2 linked regions of the Oryzias latipes genome follow. The protein of the gene in region 2 binds, or shares a complex with, the protein of the main gene of each other region. Links are inferred from orthologs where the notes say so. Each region holds a gene or a part of one and is shown on either strand. Other genes may lie near its edges.

Evidence for each region. The genes of interacting proteins can lie anywhere in the genome.
Region 1: the proteins of ap3b1 (region 2) and ADP-ribosylation factor 1 are in contact, whole or in part, in a cryo-EM structure (PDB 9C5B), measured with the Homo sapiens proteins. The link is inferred for Oryzias latipes from reciprocal best matches to the Homo sapiens genes AP3B1 and ARF1. Residues at the interface, in NP_003655.3 of Homo sapiens: Glu52, Asn54, Pro81, Val84, Lys85, Val87, Ala88, Asp111, Leu112, Leu114, Leu115, Ile117, Ser118, Thr119, Gln121, Arg122; in NP_001019397.1 of Homo sapiens: Glu17, Arg19, Tyr35, Ile46, Pro47, Thr48, Ile49, Gly50, Phe51, Asn52, Val53, Glu54, Lys73, Ile74, Leu77, His80, Tyr81, Asn84.

What each region holds. Positions count from the first base shown.
Region 1 is NC_019877.2:22,747,950-22,752,316, forward strand, and holds the start of ADP-ribosylation factor 1, read right to left. Parts: upstream 2,966-4,367; 5' UTR 2,834-2,965; intron 1,658-2,833; 5' UTR 1,648-1,657; coding exon 1,500-1,647; intron 502-1,499; coding exon 391-501; intron 1-390. UniProt on the Homo sapiens protein: Small GTPase involved in protein trafficking between different compartments. Modulates vesicle budding and uncoating within the Golgi complex. In its GTP-bound form, triggers the recruitment of coatomer proteins to the Golgi membrane.
Region 2 is NC_019870.2:3,646,740-3,651,006, forward strand, and holds part of ap3b1 (AP-3 complex subunit beta-1), read right to left. Parts: intron 2,451-4,267; coding exon 2,268-2,450; intron 864-2,267; coding exon 708-863; intron 1-707. UniProt on the Homo sapiens protein: Subunit of non-clathrin- and clathrin-associated adaptor protein complex 3 (AP-3) that plays a role in protein sorting in the late-Golgi/trans-Golgi network (TGN) and/or endosomes.

The DNA of each region.
Region 1 (4,367 bases), on a different chromosome or scaffold from region 2:
ACAACACTGATTTGTTGCCATGGTGAAAATAGACTACTTTTAAGGTGATGTCGTTCCCAAAAGCTTAAAAACGTTTGTTTTTATATTAAAATTGACAAAATAAAAAAGAAAAGCCCTGACAGAGAAATATAGAGAGGAAAACCAGACGTGGAGGTTTGTCTCTGAAACCTAACTGTTACACCAACTGTTGATTTTCTAGGCAGGAAAAACTCAAATAGCCCTAATAGTTGCTGACGACTTTAATGTCAGGAAAAAGGAGGAGTCAAACAATAAACCCTTAGAAGAATTGAACAAAAGTATGAGTCATCGGTCCAGCAGCGTTCAGATCATCTTCAGCGCAGAAGTTAGGCCCCCTATAGGCAGTAATGCGCTCCAACAGTCGGCCCTTACCTTGAGTGTTCTGGAAGTAGTGGCGCCACAGCGGCCTGATTTTGTCCTGACCGCCCACATCCCACACCGTGAAGCTGATGTTCTTGTATTCTACCGTTTCAACGTTAAAACCTGCACAAATGAGGACAGGCTTAGTGGCAGACACGGATCTGAAAGGCTCCCCAGGTTACATTAAACAGGTCATAAATTATCATTTTAATTGGATTTCAAGTTTACCACAGAGTATCTCCATTGTTAAAAGCATTAATTGTCAATATCTTTGTTCATTACAAATTCATAAACTAAATCATTCTAAATGTCATTTTTTTCAATCTTTTAAAAATGTTCTCAGATGATAAGGCTGATAAAATACATTTTTAACTAAACGTTTAAATCAACACTAAAGCTACCAAAACGTGCAGAACAGAGATATTACAAATAAGCAGAGAAAAGCCCACGTGGAGCTGAAACGTCTCCGTTTTCATACGTTTATCTGAACTCATCCAGCTGAATGTGATCTGGGCCGATCCACAGATCGAGCTGAAAGAATTCACCAGGAAGCAACAATAACAGCCGTGAATAACTAGGATCAAAGGCAGCAAAATGCATCTCCTTGTAAAAATCTTTGGCCACAATATGTTTAGATTTTGTGGAAACGAGCTGAAAGTCAGCTCTGATGGCTGACGGTGTAAATGTTTTCTATCCAGACAGCCGGAGTATTGACTTAGACACACAATGGTTAACTCAAAAACCATGAAATACAGGTAAACAGTGATGAGTTCAGTGTCAGCTTGGAGAAACTAATTGAGAAACCAGAAGATTTGTGTTATTCAAGCACAGAATACTGCAGCAAAATGCATTGTATGCAGAAACAGAGAGGTTATGAAATTGCAATGTTTTTAGCAATCCACTGCTGTTACTGCTGTTTCTGTTGAGATCAGAACAGACTTCGTTCAACGCAATTTTTAAAAAAAATCCCGACAACAATTTTGGCGTAACCTATATATCATTAATATAACATTTTGCTTTTTGGGTTTAACAATATCTCTCTCACTAAGACAGTTTCAGGATGAACAGATCCATGCAGCGTTTTGACATGAAAAACGATCCATTGCAAACAGAAATCCTACCGATGGTGGGGATGGTGGTGACGATCTCTCCAAGCTTTAGTTTATAAAGGATAGTCGTTTTTCCAGCAGCATCCAGCCCAACCATTAGAATTCTCATCTCTTTTTTGCCAAAAAGGCCCTTGAATAAGCTTGCAAATACATTCCCCATAATGACAGAGCTGGAAAACAACAAAAGTAAATAACTACAACATTTTAGTACTCGTACAGAAATAGTAGAAGAAAACCAACACATAAATGAACATCATAACAGACAATAATAGTAGGATTGAAGCAACGCTGTCGTGTTTTAGACTCAATAACAGAAATTTAGAGATATAGAGTTAAATGTTCACTTTGGCTAAACTGTTTTACATCTGCACCATCAAAATAACTATTCAGACATATAGTTTGACCTAGAGTCCTAGTCATCTGTAGGTAATCAATGACAGTACCAGAGCATCGATGACCCTAAATATAATTTGGGAGGCATTCACGGTTTAAGGTAAATCTCCAGACTGATGTGCATAACTGCTTTCCTTAACGTGGGAGTTGTGAAGGTCTACATAAACACATCAGATGTGTTTTCATTGGGATTTTTAGTGAAAATGTCATTTATCAAAGTTTTTCGGCTATTAGGATCGAAACTCAATGTGGCCAGCATCAACAAACTAAATATTTCCCCTAACTTCTATCTCGACTTGACGTGCGAGCTCCAGGACCATAAATTGCGTGTTTTAATGGAGTCCGCAGCAAACTGGACGGACGAATACTTCGGACAGCCGGCTAACCGCACAGCTAACAGATGACTGGGGCCTTGTCAGTCAGTAAACGACTGAAGAATAGTAAAAAATAAAATAGCAGTATTTTCCTTTTACGGGCAGCAGTCATATATCAAATGTAACAGTTTGTTTTAAAGGAAATCAGAAAGTTTGTGCTGTCACCACCCATTACCAACTGATGGTTAGCTTGACTATAGGGCGGATGCTTCGACTTGAGCCTAGCCTGCTGCTAACGGCTAAAGACTGGGTTTGGTCCGTGCGAAATCATTCTGTCAACAACGAACAGGCGGTACGTATCCACGAAGTTAAAGGTTGACGTATAAATAAGCCCGTTGGTGTAATATGTGTCGTGTAAAGTGAGTATCTTTTACTCGTTTTTTTCTTGTCAGTCGATCCAGAAACCACCGTAGCTAGCTAGCTAGCCGCCGTTAGCTCGATGCCGCGTCACATTACATAGAGAACAGCATGACGTCACGCAAAACCACACCAAAATTTGATCATTTAGGTCGAGTTTGAACTCACTCTCATAAAACGGCATACAGAGTAAAAAAAGTAATTGGTTCTGGTGGTTTTTACCTTTAAAAAGACAGCTTGCTGGTCTTTAGGTTATCTTTCACTGTCACTCCAAAATGGCGTCTTGCGCAACCAGGGAGACACCGGCGTCGGGCACGGCCCACTATCAAGCCTCAGCCAATCACAGCGCGTACGGTGTACCAAATGTCCCCGCCCCCGCCCAGCTCTCCGTCCAATCAGCAGAAAGATCGTCTGTGCGTCGACGATGCACAAAATGTCGAGGAAGTTAACTCAAGTTCTTCAAGTTCCACCGCCGTCAACGTGACAGGAGGACGGTTCAGCCGCTGACAGCTGAGGGAGGGATCGAACATGCGGCACTCTCCAGCAGAGTGCACGAGAAAGGCGTACAATGATCATGACAAATAAAGGATATTGTCCTCTCTTCCTTGTTGTTAGGTTGAACAACAGGCGGGTTTTCATTGTGTTCAGTGTCTTTCTTGGGTTGAATTTCCTTTGGTGTCTTTTCTACTTGGATCCATTGTTCTTTGTTTGACTCTTTTTGTCTTTTTTATACATGTCAGTGTTGGTTTGCTTTTATTTATTAACGTTTTTTTTGTTTTTTCCTACATTCTCAGGTTCACATTAGGTTCCAGAGACACCAAAAACCTAAACCATCATTTATATGAGCTCACTTGTGTGGCAATGTACAGACACTTAATAAAATACATGGAAAAGTGTTTTCATTTTTTTATAATTCCATTTTAGAACTAAGCTTTCATAGAGTATAGATTCAGGGTCCAGGTTTAATTGTTAAGTTGTTGTTTTTTTTACATAAATTGAGGTTCCAGCTCATAAAACCCTAGAAAACAGGATTTCGCAAAATCCTGATCGAGTGGAGAAATCTGCTCAAATTCTGAATATTTCTTACAGTTTCACCATCATCTACTGAACTCAAAACACCAGTACAGGTTCCCCAAATGTCTTTAAATGGGTTCAGTTTGGTTCAATGTGGGAAAGACTTGACAACTAGAAGACCACCATAAATATCCCACCAGAGGTGGTCCGCCATGAGCAAAAGTAACAGCTGGTTATTTGGCTTGCTGAAGGTGAGTGATGAGTATTTTTTTTCTTTTAGGTATCACTGCTTCTGCCCCTCACTCTCTGCTGGATCGTTGCACTGCAAGCATTCAGTCAACTCACCTGCTCTGTCCTCTGCCTGCTCGCCTACCTGTCTGCTCGCCACTCAGCCGCGCTTCCAGCTAACCTGCCCAGCCATTCTGCTCTCAGCTCCATGCTGCTATGGCCGTTTTCTGCTCCTGTTTCCCTGCATCACCGTTCTGCCCCAAGCCTCATAAGCCCCTGCACCTCTGCAATTTTGGAACCATTTCCCAGAGACCCTCCTGGAGACCAGTTTTTTGGGTTGCAAAATCAAGAGTGCTTGTGACTGAGCCCTAGACTCCTGAGTTCCACCACGCTCCAACGAGCATCCTTCTCTTTTCTGACATCTGTGTCTGACTTCCATCCATTTGCTGTACAGAGGACTTAACTCCGCCCCCTCTCTGCTACCTGCGGCTCACACTCCTCATCCCAGTGAGCC
Region 2 (4,267 bases):
TTAGACAGTTTGCACTCAGAACTGGAAAAGGCCATGAAAAGTGTCCTTTTCTGCTTATTTTCTTTAAGCACTATAACAATTCTTTGGGGTAATTCTTCAAGTATAAAAAAAATAAAGGAAAGGGAAAACAAAGACTTCTAACAACTGTATAACTTAATTCATTTTGCAATAGAGAATACAAGGACAGAACATTCTACTAACTTTCTACTTAGAATTTGCAGAAAGAAGCGGTTTTGGAGCGGAAATGACATCACCATAACCTCTGTCGCCCAAAGTCAGTCAAAAAGTCTGAATTGAAACTGGAAATTAAGAACTAAAAGCAAAGAGGGAAAGAAACAAAGGCTGAAAATACAAAAGGCTATGACATCGTATTAGGGGCCACAAACAAAAACAAAATAAAATAAAATAAAGGTAATATAATGAGATTTAAATTTACAACTTAAATATCATAAATGTATGACTTTCTTGTAAATTTATGAGATTTAAAGTTCAAGTGAAACCTATAGTCCAGCAAGTAAACGACATGCAAACCGACTAAACTCAATATGGTCAAACTGTCTTGGCTTTAAACAGATGAGCTGAATGTTTCTAACACAACGTTACAAACGTTCAAAGTACATATTTCTCCCAAGGTCGCTGCGCTTTTTCGTACATGATAGCGAGCAGAGGCGCGTTCTCAACAGAAAAGGGAGTTCTCATGGGCTCACCGCGGTGTTCCGGCTCTGCAGCAGAGGTTTGGTGTTCCTCAGCAGGAGTCTGTGGTCTGGATCCATCATGTACGGTTTGGCTTCGGTCGGACCCTTTTTCTCCTCCGAGTCCGAGTCATAGAAGGTTTTCTCGTTGTTCTCATCAAACACGGCATCCTGAAAGACAAATCAGGATGCACTGGTCCAGACCAACATTCTGAGGATCTCTACATTTTTTTGTGACGTTAAAAGAGTTCCTGCCATTTAGAAATATTATTTGTTTGGAATTTCTTTTTTGGCCTTGAAATCACAGATTGTGTTTATTGGATTCACAAAACAGCATTACAGCCCAAATTATTTTTTCTCTTTTTGCTTTTGAAAGTTTATAAATTTGTGCAAAAACCACATTTTTCAATTAGAAACACAGATCCTAGCTGATATGAAAGGAAACATCCAAAGCTGGAAGATGAGTCCACATTGCTGTTATCACTTGTAGGATGTACAGGGTTCCCTCGCTGTATCGCGGTTCACCTTTTGTTTTAGTCATTTTTTCGGTGGAATTTTCCATGTTTCTTTTATAAATTCATCATTTTACTGTCCGCCAAATTGTCTGTCCTTTCTATGAAATTTAAGTGTTTGTTTTCTTTGAAAACTGGGTTGTAGATCTTCTGACACATGTGGTGTATATCTGAATAAACCCCCTTTTGTAATTTAGGCTAAACTATATTTCTATTGATTATTGTTGGAGGGGGGGGGGCAGAAGGATGATTATAGGGGAGGGAGGCGGGGGAATCATGAAGCATCATAAATTATCAAGCAACAAGTTGCTGGTCAGGTGTGGATGTATAATAAATCTAAAAGGGTGAACTTTGAGGGTTCAAACAAGAGAGTAAAGTGTGAAAGGAGGGGTTTAACATCCTTAAAATATCTAACCCCAACGTAACTCCTGTGATAAACGAGGGAACACTTTAACTCTATTCTGCTGGAGGTTATTTTATAATTTAATAAACTATTTGTTTTACCACGACAAGTTTCTCAATCTGCCCTCACAAGTTTATTATTGTCATCAAAACAGTAAAAAAAATAACAACATATGCATATTCTTTAAGCTATGATGATGCCACTCTGAAAGTTTTGCAGGGTTTTAAAGATTTTTGAAGGTGGTGTTCCCTCTTTTATCGTGAGAATTCAGTTCTAAAAAAAAAAGGTCTTTTTTTTTATTTTTACAATGGTTATAGATGTGTTAAGGCTGTAAAATACCTCACTCAACGCTTTTCTCAGACAGAAATCCACATTTGCACACTTTTCTCTTGGTTAAACTCTGAAAGTTCATAGAAAAATAAGTGTTTTAAAATGAAAATAAGTGTCTGACCAAGATAAGATTTATGTAAATTTGGTAAATTCTATACACAGAGGAGATGGATTGAGAATGGCCTACAACAAATCAGGATACAGAACACAATGTATTAAAAAATTGTAAGCATAATTCCATTGAAGAAATGTTGCACAACAGCAAGAACGCAATAGATGAACCACGATACAGCAACATAAGGCACATCTGCTGGTACATCTGGGCCTCACCTCCTTCCAGGGGCTGGTGAACTGCGTTCTGGCGTAGCGCGTCAGCATGGAGATGATGACCACCTGACCCCACTCCTCCACATCCACCAGCAGGTTGCACAGCTTCCTGTAGTTCTTGTGAATCAGATCGATGCGATCGGGGCAGACCTCCTCGAAGGCCACCACAACACTGCCGGCCACAAGCTGCAAAAAAAAAACAAAAAAAAAACTTTTTTTTCTCCCCCTCTCACTTAAAAATATGAGCTAACAAACTAATAAAGAAAAAAGGTTGTGAGGTTTTGGGGCAATTTTTCCAAGCAAATTGAACAAACACCTCGTCTCTTAAACAAAGCAGAATTATAGGGACTCATGAGAAATAAAGCGCCGTTTAACAGACTCAATCCTCGTTTCAAGTTGGACGATAATTGCAATTTCGGTAAACACGATGCCAATTTAGCACTCTGCCTACAACACACACACACACACACACACACACACACACGCATCCAGTCCTCTAAGTGGTGAGTTGATAATTAGAAATAAAAACGGCTGCACTTACATTTTTAAGTTTTCTACAATCCCGTAAGTGAAAGAATTCAATCACTTAAAGAGTGTTTTACTCAGTATAAAACACTGGATTGATGAGGAAAAAACGAAGAGGAGGAAGCTGCAGCTGAGAGTCAATTATTAAACATTTTATTGGTAGGAGGGAAAAAATAAAATAAAACATTTGGCTGTCACCTACATACACACACACTGCCTGTTTCCAAGCCATCTTTCCTCAGACTGAGTGACTGGCATGTATTAATATGCAAACAGCAATATTCTTAGGCAGGCGAAGGTGAAGATGAGAAAGGGAGCAGAATCTAGTCTCCTCAATTAAAGCTTTGTGGCCACTGGAGGCCCTGTGGGAATCCAGAGCTTTTGCCTATCAGCGCCGTCATGAGCCCGCATTGATTGGGCGCACATAAGATGCTTGTGTCTCAAGATTCACTGAGAAATTTCCCTCTAGCAACTGTGGAATGATTCATTTTGTTGACCGTCAAGAACAGATGGCAACAATTGAAGATGTTACATTGGTGTTTTTTGTTTTATTTAAATCAATTCTAGATTATGACGTGCTTTAAGGAAGTGCCAACACCATCACATCCTGCATTTCCATCTAGAATTACTTCAATTTGATTTTGATGACCACACTAAGTCTTCTTCAGGACATCTAAACATTTCTGGACCATTGACTGTATAAGAAAACTGGACTTAGTGACTCCTCCCCCTGGTGTTCCAAACAGGAAGTACCTGCTGGCTCCAAGAATCTAAAATCCCACAGACTTCTATAGAGTCTGTTACTCAGCCATTCTATTGGTCAGAAGAACCATGCTTGCTCTGATTCCTTTTTAACATGTTCTTGATAATCCTCTTTTTTCCTCTTCAAGATTTTTGTTTTGGTTCAAGTTATTCCAGTTATAAATCTGATCAATAAGACGCCTCGAAAAAATTAGGTGGAGTCTGCCGGCCCCCAAATTCAAAACATTTGACAGATTTAGTGGCCTTCCAACAGCCTCCTTCCTGTTTGGCAAGAGTGGTTACCATTGAAATGATGACTCATATGGACTCCGACCAATCACTGCTTACTGACGACATCTTCCTCCAAAATGGAGGCGTCAATATCGTTAAAACATGGCGTCTGAACTGACTACATTTTGTTGGAACCTTTTTCTACAGGTGACGCCACACCCACTTGCCCCAGTTCTCAGATATAGTCAGTAGCAACAAAAGAACAGGAGGTTTTGTGAGACAATCCGCTGTTTGTTCAGTGCAAAAATGTAGCGGTTAGACACAGTGCGTCACAAATTTTTGTTTAATTTGCAGATTTGTTACTGATTAAAATGTGACACTGCTATTTTAGAATATTATTTATTCGCTTCTAATCATTAATTATCGTGAACTTTAACTTTTGATGCGATTCATCATGCCATGAAGTTTGTTGTCTTAAATTGTTGCATTGTTGAATAGTTTTCTTT